Arabidopsis thaliana: one gene and its partners. The protein of the gene in region 3 interacts with the protein of the main gene of each other region in a pairwise test. Each region holds a gene or a part of one and is shown on either strand. Other genes may lie near its edges.

The links.
Region 1: the proteins of AT4G31340 (region 3) and PRA1.E interact in a protein complementation assay, tested with the Arabidopsis thaliana proteins (one large-scale study listed by BioGRID).
Region 2: the proteins of AT4G31340 (region 3) and GB2 interact in a protein complementation assay, tested with the Arabidopsis thaliana proteins (one large-scale study listed by BioGRID).
Region 4: the proteins of AT4G31340 (region 3) and ARFA1D interact in a protein complementation assay, tested with the Arabidopsis thaliana proteins (one large-scale study listed by BioGRID).

The regions. Positions count from the first base shown.
Region 1 is NC_003070.9:2,806,934-2,810,298, reverse strand, and holds PRA1.E (prenylated RAB acceptor 1.E), read right to left. Parts: upstream 1,540-3,365; 5' UTR 1,367-1,539; coding exon 737-1,366; 3' UTR 524-736; downstream 1-523. Other genes in the region: AIP3 (ABI3-interacting protein 3), read left to right, coding at 114-374; AT1G08760 (GPI-anchored adhesin-like protein, putative (DUF936)), read right to left, coding at 1,890-2,757, 2,897-2,988, 3,242-3,365. UniProt on the Arabidopsis thaliana protein: May be involved in both secretory and endocytic intracellular trafficking in the endosomal/prevacuolar compartments.
Region 2 is NC_003075.7:16,986,319-16,991,015, reverse strand, and holds GB2 (GTP-binding 2), read left to right. Parts: upstream 1-1,968; 5' UTR 1,969-2,176; coding exon 2,177-2,222; exon of another isoform or gene 2,223-2,336; coding exon 2,337-2,476; intron 2,477-2,885; coding exon 2,886-2,968; intron 2,969-3,330; coding exon 3,331-3,535; intron 3,536-3,628; coding exon 3,629-3,697; intron 3,698-3,805; coding exon 3,806-3,898; 3' UTR 3,899-4,176; downstream 4,177-4,697. Other genes in the region: AT4G35870 (early-responsive to dehydration stress protein (ERD4)), read right to left, coding at 1-684; AT4G35850 (Pentatricopeptide repeat (PPR) superfamily protein), read right to left, coding at 4,335-4,433, 4,522-4,623. UniProt on the Arabidopsis thaliana protein: Intracellular vesicle trafficking and protein transport.
Region 3 is NC_003075.7:15,203,739-15,210,120, forward strand, and holds AT4G31340 (myosin heavy chain-like protein), read left to right. Parts: upstream 1-1,698; 5' UTR 1,699-1,923; coding exon 1,924-2,083; intron 2,084-2,466; coding exon 2,467-2,594; intron 2,595-2,714; coding exon 2,715-2,786; intron 2,787-2,879; coding exon 2,880-2,993; intron 2,994-3,457; coding exon 3,458-3,526; intron 3,527-3,593; coding exon 3,594-3,650; intron 3,651-3,787; coding exon 3,788-3,841; intron 3,842-3,926; coding exon 3,927-3,989; intron 3,990-4,085; coding exon 4,086-4,148; intron 4,149-4,282; coding exon 4,283-4,438; intron 4,439-4,540; coding exon 4,541-4,696; intron 4,697-4,814; coding exon 4,815-4,895; intron 4,896-4,989; coding exon 4,990-5,051; coding exon of another isoform or gene 5,052-5,055; intron 5,056-5,133; coding exon 5,134-5,212; 3' UTR 5,213-5,245; intron 5,246-5,507; 3' UTR 5,508-5,866; downstream 5,867-6,382.
Region 4 is NC_003070.9:26,563,217-26,567,720, reverse strand, and holds ARFA1D (Ras-related small GTP-binding family protein), read left to right. Parts: upstream 1-1,909; 5' UTR 1,910-2,035; exon of another isoform or gene 2,036-2,559; 5' UTR 2,560-2,568; coding exon 2,569-2,716; intron 2,717-2,810; coding exon 2,811-2,881; intron 2,882-2,961; coding exon 2,962-3,081; intron 3,082-3,168; coding exon 3,169-3,287; intron 3,288-3,364; coding exon 3,365-3,446; intron 3,447-3,553; coding exon 3,554-3,559; 3' UTR 3,560-4,003; downstream 4,004-4,504. Other genes in the region: AT1G70500 (Pectin lyase-like superfamily protein), read left to right, coding at 1-177, 276-357, 434-542, 625-741, 825-1,142; AT1G70480 (OBP32pep, putative (DUF220)), read right to left, coding at 4,113-4,504. UniProt on the Arabidopsis thaliana protein: GTP-binding protein involved in protein trafficking; may modulate vesicle budding and uncoating within the Golgi apparatus.

The DNA of each region.
Region 1 (3,365 bases), on a different chromosome or scaffold from region 3:
GCAATAATAAGTGGATACTTGTCTTGTTCAATCGTTTCATTAGGGGGATTAAAACAGCATTCTACTGTGTGTTTCTGCATCTAGCTTGATTAAAAAACAATTGATTTATGCAGGAAAAGTGTGAAAATCTAGAGGATGCAGGGAACGAGTTGATCCTTGCTGATGAGGAGATGGTGCGTTTTCAAATAGGAGAAGTGTTTGCTCATGTGCCGAGGGACGACGTAGAAACAAAGATAGAAGAGATGAAAGAAGCGACCTGCAAAAGCCTTGAGAAACTCGAGCAAGAGAAGGAATCAATTGTAACACAAATGGCAGCGCTGAAGAAGGTATTGTATGCTAAGTTCAAAGATTCTATCAATCTTGAAGAAGACTAGTTAGTAGTTATTCCCAACTTTGTTTTTCTTCTATTGCATCAGTTTATGATTCTACTGTGAGTGTAGACCAAAGGATTCTTGAATTTAACATACTGGTTTTGTTCATTATGAAATTTCATCTGGTTAATGCATACTTTTCTTTTTCTATCGGAAATTATGTTTTTGGCAATTCTATAAAATACCATAACACCAATTTGTTTTTTCCCAGAATTTGTATACATTCAAACAAAATGAAACACACACGCCAAAATATAAATACAAGAATCTTTGGGAAATCCAAAATACAAAGCCCTAAATTGATTCCCTTAGCTTCTTCAATCAAAAACCCAAGAAATTACGAGTAATTCTCCAAACCGGTTTACTCAAATTGGGGTATAACTCGACGGTGGCCGGTTACCAGAACCGGCAGACACCAGGCCACCACGGCGAGCACTTTCTTCATCAAGAAACAAATCATCGGTATTACGAAAAGCGCCGTGAGCTCCGACGATGAGCAAACCAATGATCAGCGAAACCAGAACGTTTTCGCCCACATCTGTATATACCAATGCCAAAACCGTTACCAAGCTGAGTAAAACCAGCACGATCTTGTCATCTACTTCTTTCCCCGAAATCACAATCGAATCGTTTGCGTCTCGAGAGAAATAGAGAAGAATCCATCCGATGAAGACGACGATGAAAGCGATCATAGACATCGGATGGTAAATAAGGCCGAGGAAAACAATGGCGAGAACGGCGAGAGCGTAATTTCCACGGAAATAAGAGATGTTGTGCTTTAGATGCGCCATGGCTTCATCATACCCGCGAGGGAGAGAGAGCGCGGACAGATCGAGAATCTCTCGCCATGGACGGAGCGTCGTGATCATCGATTGCGTCGTCTGCTTGGCGCGTGCACTCAACGTCCCGATGATTGTGGTGTTGGAAGTGGAAGAAGGACCGACTCCTCCACCACCAGCGCCGCCATAACCGTACGGCGGAGGTTTCTGATTCATCGGAATTGGTTGATTTTGTGTTTGAAAATAACACAAATCTGTGGTCAAATGGCAAAACCTTGGATTTCAAAGAGTCCATGTGGAATATGGGATGATGGGAGGGACTTGTTCGGTGATTATTATTTTCTTTTGGGACCTTGTAGTTTTTTTATTATTACAAATAAACCATAAACAAATCAACTTTTACCGATCGCCTCTATTTCCACATAATCATGAATCGTCATAGTTTTTGTAAAATTACAGAATTGTGATGGATCTAAGTCTTCTAATGATATTTTTGTTTTTGCTGATCTTCTAATCTTTAATCGCTAGAGAAGAGATATCGTTATTAATGGATAAAAAATATGTTGAAATCTTTCGAACCAATAGGTTCTCTTTAGTGAGTATCTGACTGAATAAAAAATACCAACATTTCACGTCGGTAGGCTTCTTAGTGATGCCTGAATTATACAGAAGAAATTGACCGCCAATTTTCATATATACAAGAAAAAAAAAAAACAAGTAGAAGCTTCTTCATCATCATTTATCTCTTTGCTTTGGTTTCGATTGGTTTAGGTCTAGGAGAAGAGACTGAGCCACCACCACCACCAAGTGCTGCAGCTGCTGACTCCACATGTGTGAGCAGATACTCGTAGATCTTCTTCCGTAATCGATCGATTGTTTCCTTAGAGACTTCTTGTAACCCTTCTTCATCCTCTTTCGATCCAATCTCGTCTAACCAATCATTCACACTCTTCAGCTGAGACAGCATCCCCGCAATCTGCCCATTATCAGACAGACTGAGACTGGATGATGTAATCACGTCAGCGTCTAAGAATCTCTCTACGAAACCCAAAAACCAATCTTGTGAAACCATTTGCAACTTCTCTGCCAGATCAGTTGCCTCGTTTAGACCATTCCCTTTCACCCAGTTTAACGGTGGAGACTCTGACCCTGCTACCGAGGTGGCTTTCTGGCTGCTACTGTTCTCCCTGTGTTTACGGATCATTCCTTGTGCTACGAGTTTAGATCCAATCGTTGGCTTGTTTTGAATATTCCCACGGGTTTTACTAGAGGAATTATTACCCGGGCTCTCGAGTATGATCACGGGTTTGCTCCTGGAGGCAGCAAGTTTGGCTTGTTTGCTGGAGTAGACAGAGAAGGGCGATAAGTTAGTGACTAACGCAGCTTGGACCCATGAGGCTGCCAATTTCTGCTTTTCCGATGCCGCTTTTATAGCTTCCTCGGATCTGTTTTCTTCATTATCTGGGGAGGACATCAAAGAGAGTAATTTGGACAATGACTCTGTTATTACTTGGACGTTTTTCAAACCGGAATGGAGCTTCAAGAACTGCTCAACGACTGGCAATGGATCATCTTCCTTCGCCGTTGACAAAAGATCGGAGTACATACTACAAAAAGGAAAAGCAGAACAAAGTTCAGAAACCACCAAGGCAGTAACAATAACATTCAGATACAAAAAACATTTATGTTTTGTCCCTCAAACATCCAAAGCCGGCCTGAATAAAACTTGGTTAAGATATTACGCACATGAGGCACTGAAGTAAGCTCTCGGAAGCAGAGGCTTCTTGCAGGGCCTCTATTGCGACTACTTGAGCAGCTTCTCTATGCCTCAATACTTCCTGCAAATATTGATAGCAGCAATGACTCAATAAGCTGTCTTAATATTTAATCACGATGTCAAAGACCAAAACATAAGATGCATATGCTATACTAAGAGGTTCTCTTCAATCACCAGAGTAAATATGTTAGTTTGGATGATCGAATTTCTAAACTGCTTGTTTTGAAGATGAATTTTCTTAATCACTAGAAATGCTTCAAAGCCTATTAATGAAGCAAGCACATATAAGGATCCAAGAGCAGTCAAGGCCATACCTGTCCCATCCTCGAAAGAGATGGAGGGAGTGAACTCCATTGGATATTGGCCGCCGCTAATCTTTTACCATTAACAGAGACTTTGACCAAATTCCCAGGCAATCCATTCTCTGCAACAGATTTC
Region 2 (4,697 bases), 1.8 Mb from region 3:
CCTAAAGCAATCTTCAAACTCAACTCTATCAGACCCTAAATTCTTAGGCAAACCCTGCACCATTATAGTAAACACAGCAGTAGAATTCGCGTTCGGGTCACTGATATTCCCATTCCCATCTCTAAACCTAGTAAACTTCAACCTAGCTTCAATAGCAGCGATTCCAAAATGCGAGATAACAACAACAATAACAACAAACACAAAATGCAGCCAAAGCAAAGCTGAACCTTTCTGAATATGCGTAATCATCGTTTTCGAAAGCTCATCACTCAACAAAGCAGTCCCAGCATATAAATTCAACGGAAGCATAACCGAAACAGCTAAAACAGCAATGGAGAAAAGAAGCACAAAGCTTCCACCTTCAATTAAAAGAAACTGAGCAGCATCAGCACCACAGTGACGAGCGATCTCGCGACACGTGGCTTTCCAAACGGCGAGGAGCTTAGAGAAGAGAGCAGAAGGACCAGGCATACGACGGTGGTCGCTGCGTAGCTTAACGAAGAGAAAGATGGAGACGCAGCATAAGAGACCAATGACCGAGATATTAAGCAGATACTGAATGTTGCCGTACCAAGCATCTGGGATTTCAGGTAAGTCGCCGGAAGATGGAGGAGGAGAGAATGAATTATCTATTGTCATTGATGAAATCGGTGGCATCGCAGCTGGTGAAAAATTGCGATTCATCGCGAATTTCTCAACCAAATTGAGAAACCCAAATCTTCGAAGTTTCTTCAGAGATTCAGGATTTATACAACAAGGTTTTGATCAGGAGAAATTTGGGGGCTTTAGGGTTAGACTTTGGGGGAAGTAGATCGACGAAGATGATGGCAAAAGTAGAAAGGTAAATAGAAAAGGAGGAACAAGGAATGCTATCGCGGTTTCGAATCTCTCAAAAGATTCTTCTCCTTAAATCATGAAATTTAATCCCATCTTTTTAAGATAAATACACCCAAAAAAAACGAATTAACACAACTAAAAAATATAAATAATTTGATAGAAGTATATCAAATTGGTAATTTACAGAGTTTTTATGAATAAAACGATAGTTCTTTAAACGATAATTACATATTCTCTAAATATTTCGTGATTAGTAGAATAAGAGAATATAATCAAATTCATAACTCTTGTATATTCATTTTAATCAAATTCTCCTTAAAGCATGAAATTAATCAAATAATTTGAAGGTAAAATACCCAAAAAAATACGAAATAACATAACTAAGATCGGTTTGAGTTTGGGATGAAATAACATCCCCTGTTCTCTAATGGATGGAACTCTGTTTCGAATTTGCTTCTCGAATTTGCCATTGTAGACTATAAGCATTTGTAAGGAACTCATCTCTAATGTAGGATTTGAGTTCTTCTTATCTTCCCACTAGAACATTCATCTTAAACACAGTTATGTAATTTCCATAAGAGATATGAAACAGAGCATACTACCGTGATAATCCGGACACAATTGATATTAGTAGCCTTGTATCAAGGTACGTGTGTATTCCCCATCATATAATAAAAGAAGCTTTTGCTAATGCAAATTTCTGGTAAGTTCACAGTTTTGATGTGCAAGTTCTTTTGTATCATCAATTTAGCGATTATGGACTGCGCCATGCTTCAGATGAATAGAAAAAAGAAACTTATGCTGGTCTCGAAATCCACTAACCAAGCCATTCAACATCAAAGAAAAAAGCCCACATTATAAAAAAATAAAAAAGCCCACTTTAAACTATCAAATGCCCAACAATGGATGATGCACTAGTCGAGTCAGAGTGGACGGAGCCAAAGGCAGAGATGGATTTTAAGCTTTAATTTGTTTCCCAGATATTTTTCATCTGGTCCCTCTGTTTTTAAATAATTAACTAAAACGACTATAATAATTAATAAATTATACTATAGAGTATTTTGTGTGGATTTTTATTTACTGTTGAAACTTAAGGATACAAAAGAAAAACAATTATTCAGATAATTCGTCATTAGATCCCTTTAATTTTAGTAATTAAGTAAAAAGATTATAAAAGATGAGAAGGAGAAGATAGCTTCTTCATCGAGAAACCTCGAAATCAAAAAGCACGTCGGTGACTTGTACTCTTCAATCTCTTCTTCCTCTCTTTCACATCTCCTTCTCTCGAACCCATCGACCTGCGCTAATTCATCATCGACCTTGCTCAAATTCATCAACCATGTCTTACGATTATCTCTTCAAGTACATAATCATCGGAGACACAGGTGAGAGACCGATCTTTCACCTTTCTTAATTCCCAATTGTTTTATTTTTCTGGGTTAAATCCATTTCGTGCCGATTTTCATGTGTTTTCGTTGTTGTTTTTTTTGTCGTTTCAGGTGTGGGAAAATCGTGTCTGCTTCTGCAATTTACTGATAAGAGGTTCCAACCAGTCCACGATCTCACCATTGGTGTTGAGTTCGGTGCTCGGATGGTCACCGTCGATGGACGCCCCATCAAACTCCAAATTTGGGACACCGTACGCTTCCTCTCTCTTCTCTTGGTCGTAATTAGGTCATCAGGGAACTAATCACGTTTTATCGATTAGGATTGTTTTTTTTTTCTCCCTAAGGCAGGATGTGATTAAGAAGATTAATTGTCATAATCAATTCAATTTCTTCGTTTTTATATAAACAATGCCTCATTAGAATTGCCAATACCAAAAATTATGTTTGAAAATCATGTCCAGAGACTCAAAGTGGGGTAAAATTTCAAAAAAGTTAATCATTGCACGGTTCTTGATTAAGTTTCATAGGCTTATTGTAATAGAAGCTGAGTTCACCAGTGCATTCCTTGTTGTGATTTCTTCTGGTCAATAGTTCTTCCATTAGATGATGTATGTGTTGGAGTTGTGCTTTCTGATTAAAGTTTCGTATGATATTTTTTAGGCTGGACAAGAATCTTTTAGATCCATCACCAGATCATACTACAGAGGAGCAGCCGGAGCTTTACTGGTTTATGACATCACCAGGTTAGTTTTTGCCTTGCGACAATATATATCAGCTCGAACTTCTGAATTCCCCAGCAAGGTTTTGGAAGTGATTGGTTCTGTATTTGTGATTTGATAAACCTAGACTGTTGGAAAGGTTTTGGAAATTGGGAAGTTACTTTTATCTGAACAAAATCCTTGGCTATAATATTGGCAATGCTTGTTTGGGAGGATGTTAAGTTAACCATCCATCTTAAATTCTTGCTAAAATAGATATTTTTCCTCCATTGTTTTGGAATTTTGAAAGTTATGAAGGACATGAAGAATTGCAAGAGTTTTATCATTGAGGTTTTTCATGCTTTGATCTTTCTGAAGCTCAAAATTCTTGGTTCTTTGGGTTGCAGGAGAGAGACGTTTAACCATCTGGCAAGCTGGTTGGAGGATGCTCGGCAACATGCAAATCCTAACATGAGTATTATGCTGATTGGGAACAAATGTGATCTTGCTCACAAGAGAGCTGTTAGCAAAGAGGAAGGTCAACAGTTTGCCAAAGAACATGGCCTGCTATTCTTAGAAGCATCTGCAAGAACTGCTCAAAACGTTGAGGAGGTGACATTTCTTCCTTGCAACTCTTTTTCCCCATCCTGTTATTTGGCTGTAATCACATGGAGACTTTTGTCTTCTTTTTCTGGATTCCAACAGGCCTTCATAGAGACTGCTGCCAAGATCCTCCAGAACATTCAGGATGGTGTCTTTGATGTATCCAACGAGGTAATTTCCTTGTTGAATCTGGCAATATACTTAGTCTTCTGGTGTTCTCTAATCCCTCGATTGTGTTACAATGTGATTCAATTCCCTTGGTCTCTCTAAATTTTGCAGTCATCAGGTATCAAGATTGGTTACGGGCGTACTCAAGGTGCAGCTGGAGGAAGAGATGGTACGATCTCTCAGGGAGGTGGCTGTTGTGGTTAAAAAATCCTCGAGAGAGGTGTCACATATCTGCTGTAATCTGGTGATTCAGAAACTACTATTGCTTCTATTTACCTCTGCAAATGGATACACCAGAATGTATAGTTTCTCTTTCTTTCTTTCTTTTTTTCTCTTTTTCCCAGATTGTCTTTTATCAAAAAACCAAACGGGTGCATTTAAGAGTGAACAGGCTGATCTTTATAAACCAAACAGGCGTTGGCTTATTTAAAACGTTGTCGCTTTGTATGAAGCTCTCAAGGTTAAGTAATTGAAATCAAATCAGAATAATATCCAGTCATCATCTAGGTGAAATTTCCTTATTCATCTAAACGAACTGGTTTTAAAATACCCAGATGGTTCACAGAGATCCCAATAAGCAAATAGAAGTAGAAAACGAAGAAGCCATGATACCATCTTTCTTCCTCTTGGTCCCTTTGCTTTAACGCCTATTAGGTAATGTCCCTTCCCTAAGCCGCAAGTTATTGTATGTTCGCGTCACTAACATCAGTCTCGGATCATCCTCTGGTATTTCGCGTTCCTATGATTACCACACCACAAAAACCATCAATAACTAATACCAAGAGAAAGAAAGTTTGTGGTCAAATAAGAAAAAGGTTTTTTATTACTTTCAAGCCCTTGTAGTAAGCTTCAACAGCAGCTAGTGTTGGTAGAATATTCCGAGCTAGCATCAGATCCCATATCATATTTGCAACTGTGTACCCTCCCGTCTGCCATAAAGAAAATGTTTTTTTTTTTTTAACTTTCACTAAGCCAACTCTTTATATCAGTAAGATATTTCCAA
Region 3 (6,382 bases):
GAACTCGTTTAGAGATGACAATTCAGATTATGATGTTAGCTAATTATATCCGAATCTAGTTCTGAAGCCCATGTTCGCCTAGATTAAAATTGTATCATTGTATGTTAACTAACTCTATTTTTCATATATATATTTTCAATTTTGGTTTAGATTAGGTAAACAAAAAGCTATTTCATGCTACAAACAAATACAATTTTAGTGATGAAAATTTTCGTAGTTAAAACTTTAGTTTCGTACGTAGCTAAATAGCTAAACGACAGTTGCTAAATAACTTACTCGTGACTATCCGTTGATACACAAATTTCATGGATAATAGCTACTGACCATTTAACAACGAGATAGCCAGAGATATATCATAGAGATAGCCAATTAAACTGTTGGCAAAAGTACCATGGGCTGTCCTTAAGTGGGCCTAAATCTAATAAAATTATAAACTGTGGCCTGTTAGGCATGTGATATTTTTCTCTTTTTCTTCAAGCCTTTTTATAAAAATAAATGTCAAGAGATGATGAAGGCATTTGCACTTTTGAAGAATTGAAGTAGGAGCTCAAAGCGAAGGATTACGATGATAGACATCTCTGTAATGATTTAACAAAACTCAAATACAACATCAAGTTTGGAAGATCACTGGACTGTTTTGTGTTTGATCATTTACTCACCTGTAATTCTTTTTTACTAATATATAACTTATAAGAAATCATAAACTATAATCTTTTTTTTTTTTGGGTTTAATGAGACTTTTTTCTGTCCTTTTTTTGAACACCTGTGAATCATAGACTATAATCGAACTTCATCCCCTTTTTTTTTTTTTTGGGAAACTTAGAGAAGAACAAAACATTTGTGAGGCTGATGATTTGATGAGACCGCAACGTTGGAGAACTTTGGAGTATATTAATAATATACATTTTCAATATTATCAGTATATGCATTTTCAACTAGGCCTTGCTTTATACACCGGAGATTATAATTAATGAAAAGATGAATTACGTTAATGTCATTGCTTCTGGTTTGAGTTGGCAAACTCCACGTACCACGTACATATAATTATTATTGAGTAGTTGCTAATTAATTATACTTTTGTCTTGTTAAAACTAGTATTATAAATTGGTTAATGCCATAAAGCAAACGATAGACCAGACACATCTCTGATAATCCAGCGGTACTTATTTGTCATGATTCTGTGATCCAATCAATTAATCGTATAGATTTAGCTATCGCGAATCGTGATTCCAACCTTTACATAAATTCTTTTTAAATTAGGGCAAATTGTGTTGGATCAAGCATAGTAATAACATAATACGTACTTATAAAATTGTTAACGTGCCGGTGTTGTTTGGAGAGAAAAACAAAGATTCTTAGCTCTCAGGCAATTAAAAAAACGAGTATCGAAAAATTCAGAATAGAAGTTGCTTAGTTAACGAGAAATTAAATGGTGCATCGAATATCTAATGGTTTAATCTGGATATAGTAAAATTAGTACTCCACGATTAGTTAGCAGGCAAGTAGATGAATGTCATTAATTTGATGATCTGATTGAATTGCTTTCGAAAAAGGACAATAATAATAATATCGACTGGTTAATTGGTTGTCATATTTTACCCAAAAAGGATCAACCATTGGATTTACGCCACGTCATTAATGTGAAAATACAAAAGTGGATCCGATGGATGCCGCGTGTCATCGTCGGTCACGACATACCCACGAAGCCATTTACCTCACGTTTAGTACCATCTATCTCTCTCTCTCTCGTCTTGGCACGCTGTTTCTTTTTTTCCTACTGGTTAAGAAATTTCTACGGTCCATGGTCAAAAACACACCTTCATAAATATACAGAGAGATCGTGAGAGAGCAGAGAGGAAACGTTTCTCTTGTTCGTTGGAATCTCCGTCCCTTTTTGTTGATCGACGGTGGTGAATCTTAGACATGGCGGCTGCGAAGCTCGTCGCTTTGTTACTTCTTGCCTTGCTTTTCACCACCAGCGTCTTCGCCGATGCTGATGAGCCGGAGGTTTCTGAGGCTGCCGGATCCGATGGCTCTTCCAAGATCCACCTGGATCAGCTTAATGCCAAGATCCGTGCCCTAGGTTAGTTACCGACTTGCATTGTTCAGACTCTTCCATCTGATCGAATGATTGCGAAGTTTTGATTTTTATTCGACTTTGATTCGTATTTGAAATCGGAATCTGCAGAGTTCGCATGTTATTGGTCTGACGCTGATAGAATTACCGTTTCAGCTACTTGATGTGTTTCTCTGTTCTTATAGCATTGACTTAAATTAGTAGCTTTTGGATCGATTTCAGATATGAATCGTATTAACTTGTTCCCAATGTCGAATTGCTTGCTATGGTTTTGTGGAATTTGTGAAATGCCTAATCCGTTCTGATTCGAGCTTGTTATAGCTTGATTATTTGGTGAATGCAAATTTTGGGGTTTGAGCTTTATGTTTTGTTTTTGTTTTGTTTTGAAGAATCTCAAATCGATGAGAAAACCCGGGAAGTTCAGGGCAAAGACGAGGTAGTAGCAGAGAAGGAGAAACTACTCAAAGAAAGGGAAGACAAGATTGCTTCCTTGCAGACTGAAGTCTCATCACTACAGGTATGGATCTTATATGGTTTCAGTTTCATCTACTTTTTTTTGGAACTTGTGATAAAAAATTTCTAATCTTTTTGACATGTTTGGCTTAAATCTGATCTGTGTGTTTTCACTCATCTCCAGAAAAAGGGATCATCAGATTCTGCAAAACAGTTGGGAAAGGCTCAAGCACGAGCTGATGAATTAGAGAAGCAGGTGAAATTTTTAAGTTCAAAAACTCAATCTATTTATATGGTTAGAATTTGCAAACGGTTATCTGATTTTTGCGATCCTACTACTGTCGTTTAGGTTGAGGTTCTCAAGAACTTCTTGGAGCAAAAAAACAAGGAGAAAGATTCCACTGAAGCTCGGACTAATGAAGCTGAGAAAAAACTAAGGGAACTTAACTCGAGCCTTGACAAAGTATATTTGTTTACATCCCTCGTTTCATTTTTTGCATTACACCATTTCATTTGTTTTTTCTCTAAGGGACATGGTAAATGCTTAGTTACGTTTTTTTTTATCTCAGCTTTAGCTAGACTTTGTTTAAGGTTGAGGTCAAAATATCTTCATGTTCTAAGCCTCGTCATTTATGCTATGTTATTAGCATTGCAATTTCCGTTCTCAGCTATATTAGTTCTCATTAGGACAGCTCCTTGGATGATTTGATACTCGTGTTTGATCTTAATTCGATCTTGAGTTGTATGAGAATTATATAGAACAGAGTTTCGTTATGCAGTCTTATTATACCATCAGAACTTTCCCTCCTTCTTACTATACCATCGACCATGCTTTTATGGTCCCTTTTATGGATATGTACTTTTGGTTGAACCAATTCTTATAGTAATGTCCTGAGACATTTAATTATAGTATCTGATGTCTTGCAGCTTCAGAAGACAAATGAAGAGCAGAAGAACAAAATAGGAAAACTTGAACGTGCTATTAAGATAGCTGAGGTACAGTAACCTCTTATTAAAGTAGATTTGCCTCACATATAGTTTTTTTCTAAATTTTAAATTTCAGGAAGAAATGTTGAGGACAAAGCTCGAAGCAACCACAAAGGCGAAGGAACTGCTAGAGGTATTAGTTTGACACAGTTTTACATTTGGCTTTCTCTGATGCTATTATAGCATTAGATTTTCATTGTGTGGGAAATTAGCGGAGCCTGGAATCTGGAAGTCGGCAGAAAGCTAATGTCAATTGTTTTATTTACTCAGGCTCATGGTTCGTGGCTTCCCCCTTGGCTTGCTGTTCACTGGTTTAAATTTCAGGTAAGGTTTATGCTGGCCTTTTTACAGTTTTACAACATAGTAGTTATCCCCCCCAATTAACATAGGGAATTTCATGTACCTATAGACTTATACCGAGACACATTGGGAGGCCCATGGGAAACCTGCTGTGGAGACAGTAATTCTAAAGGTACTGTTTAACTTTTGTCCTATACTCCTATTGAGATTTATGCCTCTAAACAGTATGAGAGCATCTGGCTAATGAAGTTTACTTATTATTGAGTAGGTGACGGAAGCAAAAGCTCAAGCTGAAAAGTGGGCTGAACCACATGTCGAAAACGTTAAAACTGTAAGCATCTTATTGGCAATTTTTTTTGTAGTAAATTTCTTTGACATTAATGGAATGCCTGCATTTTTGGTGAATCACAAATCTCTAGAGTTATAATTGGCTCATATTACTATGTCTTATGACACTACTTGCAGAAATATATTCCAGCCATCAAGGAAACCGTTACTATACATGTTGAGCCACACTTCCGAACACTATCCATCAAAGCTAAAGAGGCTTACCATTCATCAAAGAGTGCTGTTTCCCCTCACATTGTCACGGTTCAAGAATTTGTAGACCCCTATTATCAGGTATAGTGTCTTTTTCAGTTTATTTTTTCACTGATAGGTTTGGTACACAATTAATCAACTAGTATTTACGGATGTAAACTTTATGCCTGTTACAATTTCCAGGAGGCCAAAAAGTTCAGCAAGCCATATGTCGACCAAGTGGCCACGACCACGAAACCACATGTTGATAAAATGAAGGTTGCCATGAAACCTTACACAACCAAGGTGATCATCGTCTATACAGAGTTCCTTGAATCCGCCACAACTTATCACAATCAGGTCTGAAACCAAAATCCTGCTAATGTATACTAAAAATAAATCTGAGTTATTCCACTTCTCGGACTCATCAAAAAGTATGCTCGACTTGTAAAGCTAAAATCTGTGTTTGTCTGTGAAGGTCCAAGCCCATGTTGAACGAAAACTGAAAAGCCATGAGCTGACGGAGCCTTTTGCTACCAATGAGTTTGTTTGGTTTGCGGTATTTTGCCTTACTTTCTTCTAGAACGTATTCTGAGAATGCATCCTTTATTTGTTTCCTCTCTAACTTCAAATCTAAAATCTATGCACTGCAGGCCTCTGCATTGTTGGTATTTCCCATCTTCGTTGCTTACAGAGTGCTCTCTTCTCTCTTCTGGCAAGTCTTTTAAGTAATCCATTTAGTCATTTTATGTAATATTCTTAATCATAAAAATATCTCATATTATTGTTTATCGCAGCACAAAGACAAAGAAACCTGTTAAACACCCTCATCACCATGGTCGTCGTAAGGCCAAAAGGGCTCACACTGACAAGTGATATTCATTGTTCCACGCTCTCAAAATAGTCGAGGTACACTCTCACGTTTAACTTTTGCTTGACATTAGCCACACTAAGGAACATCTCCTCTCTTAAAAGCATTGTAGTTACGAGTTTTCTAGCTTCCAGCCTCAGAGGAAATCATGTAGTCTAGTTAGTGTGAAAATAAACAAATATGTAGTGTTAGTAACAGAACCATACTCAGATTATGGAATGTGGTTTTGAGTATCTGATGCCACATAACATTAGGTGCTTCATTGTCGTTTCTTAATCTGTTGCTTCTTAATCGCTCCAGGTCACGAGGTTAAAACGCCATTGTTGTTGGACTGTTCTAAAGTCAGCTAGCTCACCGGACAGGTTGCTTGTTGAATGAAGGGAAAGTCTCGAGTTGGTGTCTGATGGGTTTTTAGAGGCTCGTTGTGCACAAGTGTTGACTTCTTTCCTTTATTATTTTGTATTGTTTTGGACAATTTATTTCAGCATTTTTACACAGAAGATTAGACATTACTAGAGAAATTCTAGCAAAAGCTTGGTTGTATTTTAGTGTATTTTTCTATTTTACGTGGATATATATTGCGATATCTTTAATTTCATTCGAACTCTTTCTTTTGCAACTTATCTTTATGCTTAATTCATAATTTCTTATAATTCCATCAAACTCTAGAATTATTCTTTATTTTCCTCAAATTACTTTCTTACAAAATGAACTCTTGGTCTCTTTAAAAATTCACCAGAAAGTTTTAGCTAACCTTGAAAAACACAAAACGTGGAAGAGATAATTAAGAGAGATATTGGTACTAACAATTCATCTTAACTAGATACAGTAGTCGAGAGGCCAACAACAAGTCTTGGGACTCGATTTGAGTCAAGAAAGAAGCATGTATCTATCTTAAAGGCACTTTAACGTTTCTACTTCCACTTGATTTTCTTGTTTATAAACATCGCCACTTCCACTTCCTCTAACACCCCAAAGTCACAGCAACTTGGTGCAAAAATAAAATGGCGAACCCCAACGAGCAAGAAAAGGCAATGAGAACGAAGGTTAAATGGAAAAGATTCACTGAGATGGAAGTAGATATGATTATGCCAGATCCATCTCCAAACGGTAACATCTATCACTCCGCCTTTGAGATGAATGCCGCAAGAAATGGTTTAACTGTCCCACCAAAA
Region 4 (4,504 bases), on a different chromosome or scaffold from region 3:
ATGTGAGAGGCTTAACTATCCGGAACAGCCAACAGATGCACTTGATCATACAACGGTCAACTACAGTTCGAATCTCTAGAGTTATGGTCACATCTCCAGGAGACAGTCCCAACACTGATGGAATTCATATAACCGCATCTACCGATGTTGTAGTCCAAGACAGTAAAATCAGCACAGGTTCTTCACCAAAAACTTCTATTTAACTCAAAACACTATCATGGTAATTATAATATTAAACTCAAAATGTTATAGCTGACACTTCAACTTGAAAACAGGAGATGATTGTGTCTCGATTGTGAATGGAAGCGCCAAGATAAAGATGAAGAGGATCTACTGTGGACCAGGACATGGAATCAGGTAAACCATCTCTAACCATAAAAAGAAATGAGACACATATATTATTATTGATTGCAAATAATTTCTTGTTCTGTAGTATTGGAAGTCTTGGACAAGGACATTCGAAAGGAACCGTCACTGCAGTTGTGTTGGAAACTGCGTTCTTAAAGAACACAACTAATGGTCTAAGAATCAAGACATGGCAGGTAAAATCTCAATTCTATTGATCTTTGCTTTCCTTCCAAAGAGTTTTCAGGATTGATTGAAAGATGAAACTCTTTAAAACAGGGTGGTAATGGTTACGTAAAGGGTGTACGTTTCGAGAACGTAGTGATGCAGGACGTTGCGAATCCGATTATAATCGATCAATTCTACTGTGATTCACCATCAACTTGTCAAAACCAGGTTTTAATTCTTTCACATAACCATTGACTTATCAACAAACCTCAAGAAAGAAACTTAATCTTTTGATTCCTATTTCTTTGCAGACATCGGCGGTTCACATATCCGAGATAATGTACAGGAACATAACCGGAACCACGAAAAGCTCAAAAGCCATCAACTTCAAGTGTAGTGACGCAGTCCCTTGCAGCCACATTGTCCTCAACAATATCAACTTGGAAGGCAATGATGGAAAAGTAGAAGCATATTGTAACTCTGCTGAAGGGTTTGGTTATGGTGTAGTTCATCCTTCTGCGGATTGTCTGTATTCGCATGACGACAAGAGCTTAAACCAAACTGATCAGTATTTGGCAGAAACTATTATGGTCGAAAAAGAAACTGAAAATGCTCATGATGAGCTTTAAGGTGATCACATATTTTGACGGTCGTTGTAGTGAGGAATGTGCACGTTATATTTAGTTGTAATTCATCTTTAGCAACTGACCTTATATATATAGCTTGTTAATGAAGCATATACAATGAGATTGAAAAGCATTGTAGTGTTTATAAATTGATTATAATTAAGGTAAAGATTAATATTTTTGTATAAAAAATGAATGCTTATTTGGTAGTTTGTAGCATTTGCTCATCTCTCTATGTTTTGTTATGATCGTTAAGGGTTGGCAGCAAAACCAGACCCAAATGTTTAAATTTTTAAGCTAATACTAAACCGGAATTGTCTCTCAATTGATTAATTTTATCATTTTGAAAATAAATCTTTTAAATGATTTTGTGGCTAACGTTTCCCAAAGTTAACCAAACCAGACAAACAAAATTTCATTAAAAATATCATTAATAGATGTAGATATGTAATCATATTATATATATTAAAATTATTTTAATAATTATAAAATTTATCAAAATTGATTGAAATGACGATTTCTTATTGGTCAGACAACATCAACAAATAACGAAATTTTCACTGGAGATGAAGTAGCACTTAAGAAAAGAGTATTGCTCACGTGTTAAGTTTTAATTGGTTAGCTCGCGAACACCTGCACACTTGGTCATAGAAGATTCGAAGAGGGTAATTCCGTCAATTACAAATGGCAATTTCGTTAATTGGCGTGAGAAACGACGAATAAACCGGTACCCCTCTCCCTTATAAAATTGCTCTCCACCACTTCCCATTTCGGCGTCATCGCGTTTCTCTTAAGCTTCTCTCACATTTCTCTTTCAAATTTCTTCGAGTCTCTCTCGCTCTCTCCGTTTCTTCGCGGTCTCTCTCTCTCAGATCTCTCCGAAACATTCTTCGTAGGTACGCTTTGATCTAAGATCTGTGCTCATACATTCTCAATTTAGCGTAGATCTGTATGTGTTCTGCATTTCTCGTTTCTTGTGAATTTTGATGGTTTTGGAATCGTCGTGATTGATTTCGTTGAGGTTGATCTTGCTCATGAATGGATAATGCGATTTTATTTTTAAGATGTGTATATATGTCGACGTTTCTGATTACGATCTGATAGTGTGGATCTGTTGAATTTTCTATTCACTTTCGTTTTCCGTCGTTGTGATTGTATCTGATAGCTTCTGAGATGTTGAAGATCTGTATCAGAGAGATTATGATATCTCGGGACGTTTGATTCTCTGTTTGGATCGGCCTGATCTCGTTGAAATTTGATGTTTGTGAGTGACGATTTTGGTATTGATCAGGTTCTTAGAGGATATAAGAATTGAATTTGGCATTATAGATGCATAATTTAGGATTTCTGAGATGAAAATCGCGTGATATAGAATGTGTATGAGGTTTTTGATATTAGACTTTGTTGTGTTTGTTTGCAGTGAAGCAAAATGGGGTTGAGTTTCGCCAAGCTGTTTAGCAGGCTTTTTGCCAAGAAGGAGATGCGAATTCTGATGGTTGGTCTTGATGCTGCTGGTAAGACCACAATCTTGTACAAGCTCAAGCTCGGAGAGATTGTCACCACCATCCCTACTATTGGTAAAGAAGCTTCACACCTTAGTACTGGTTTTTAAATTGTGATGATGGTATAAAATCTAGGATCGATTAGTGATATGCTAAATTCTATCAACAGGTTTCAATGTGGAAACTGTGGAATACAAGAACATTAGTTTCACCGTGTGGGATGTCGGGGGTCAGGACAAGGTATGGAGTCTCTGTACTGCTTATTGTTTGATGAAGGAACTTTTCACCCAAATAAACTGACTTTTTGGCTTCTTTTTCAGATCCGTCCCTTGTGGAGACACTACTTCCAGAACACTCAAGGTCTAATCTTTGTTGTTGATAGCAATGACAGAGACAGAGTTGTTGAGGCTCGAGATGAACTCCACAGGATGCTGAATGAGGTAAATATCCAGTGCTATAGAGAAAGAGTTCTTCTTCATAGTTTTGTTAGTTTGAAAATCCTTTACTTACCAACTCTTTTATTGCAGGACGAGCTGCGTGATGCTGTGTTGCTTGTGTTTGCCAACAAGCAAGATCTTCCAAATGCTATGAACGCTGCTGAAATCACAGATAAGCTTGGCCTTCACTCCCTCCGTCAGCGTCATTGGTAAATAAACATCCTTATAAGTTTCAAAAGTCAAACAATTTCTGTTCGATACTGATGTGTGTTTTTGCTCGCTACAGGTATATCCAGAGCACATGTGCCACTTCAGGTGAAGGGCTTTATGAAGGTCTGGACTGGCTCTCCAACAACATCGCTGGCAAGGTAACATAACTACATAAGTTTCTTCAAAAACACACAAATCTAACGAGCTGGTTTCTTTTTATTCTGCGATGCTTATATCTTTACCTCGTGTTGCTCTTCTTGCACAGGCATGATGAGGGAGAAATTGCGTTGCATCGAGATGATTCTGTCTGCTGTGTTGGGATCTCTCTCTGTCTTGATGCAAGAGAGATTATAAATATTATCTGAACCTTTTTGCTTTTTTGGGTATGTGAATGTTTCTTATTGTGCAAGTAGATGGTCTTGTACCTAAAAATTTACTAGAAGAACCCTTTTAAATAGCTTTCGTGTATTGTGCCTGGATTAATATGATTGATTGTTTTGCTTTCTTGTTTTTGCGTATCCTATTTTCACGTCTGCATCGTTTTCATCACAGAAATATCTTTCTTTCTTTACCAAAATAAATGAATTAGAAATTTTGTATATTTGAAAATTCATATCACTATTGGTCATTGAGTCATGGTTGTAATGGTCATGAGTCATTGAGTCATGGTTGTAAACTTCTTCAACAAGGAATAGATTCCCACATTTATATGCCAGTGTATCTTATGAAAACAAATATTATATTATGTTCACATATTGCTGGGTGATCCAAAAATCCTCAAGATATCTATTATCCCAGAATCATGGACTGTGTGAGTCTGTGACTTAACACAAATCATTGCGTCGTCTCCTTGATGTTCTTCTATGTGCAGACCATCTTTCTTTTATATCTCCAGGTGTGCCAATCCGTTGCTCATCGGGCGAGTGACCATCCTCCATTACTCCAGCTGCACGGATCCTGGCGGTCTCAGCCAACAAGTCATGGATAAGCATCTCTGTCGTCTTAGCCGTGATTCCTCTGAGATACCAAGAAATGGGCGGAGGTGGAACAATCGCTGGCTGTATTAGCTGGTCCAGCGTTACCTTAGATCCGATCCTCCCTTTACCTCCAGTGCACCTGTTATACTCCTCCAGCGTTTTCGGTTTCAAACGATCGCACATATGTTCATCCACAAACAAAGGCTTTACTTGCCAGCTTCCTTCGAATCTCTTCATGA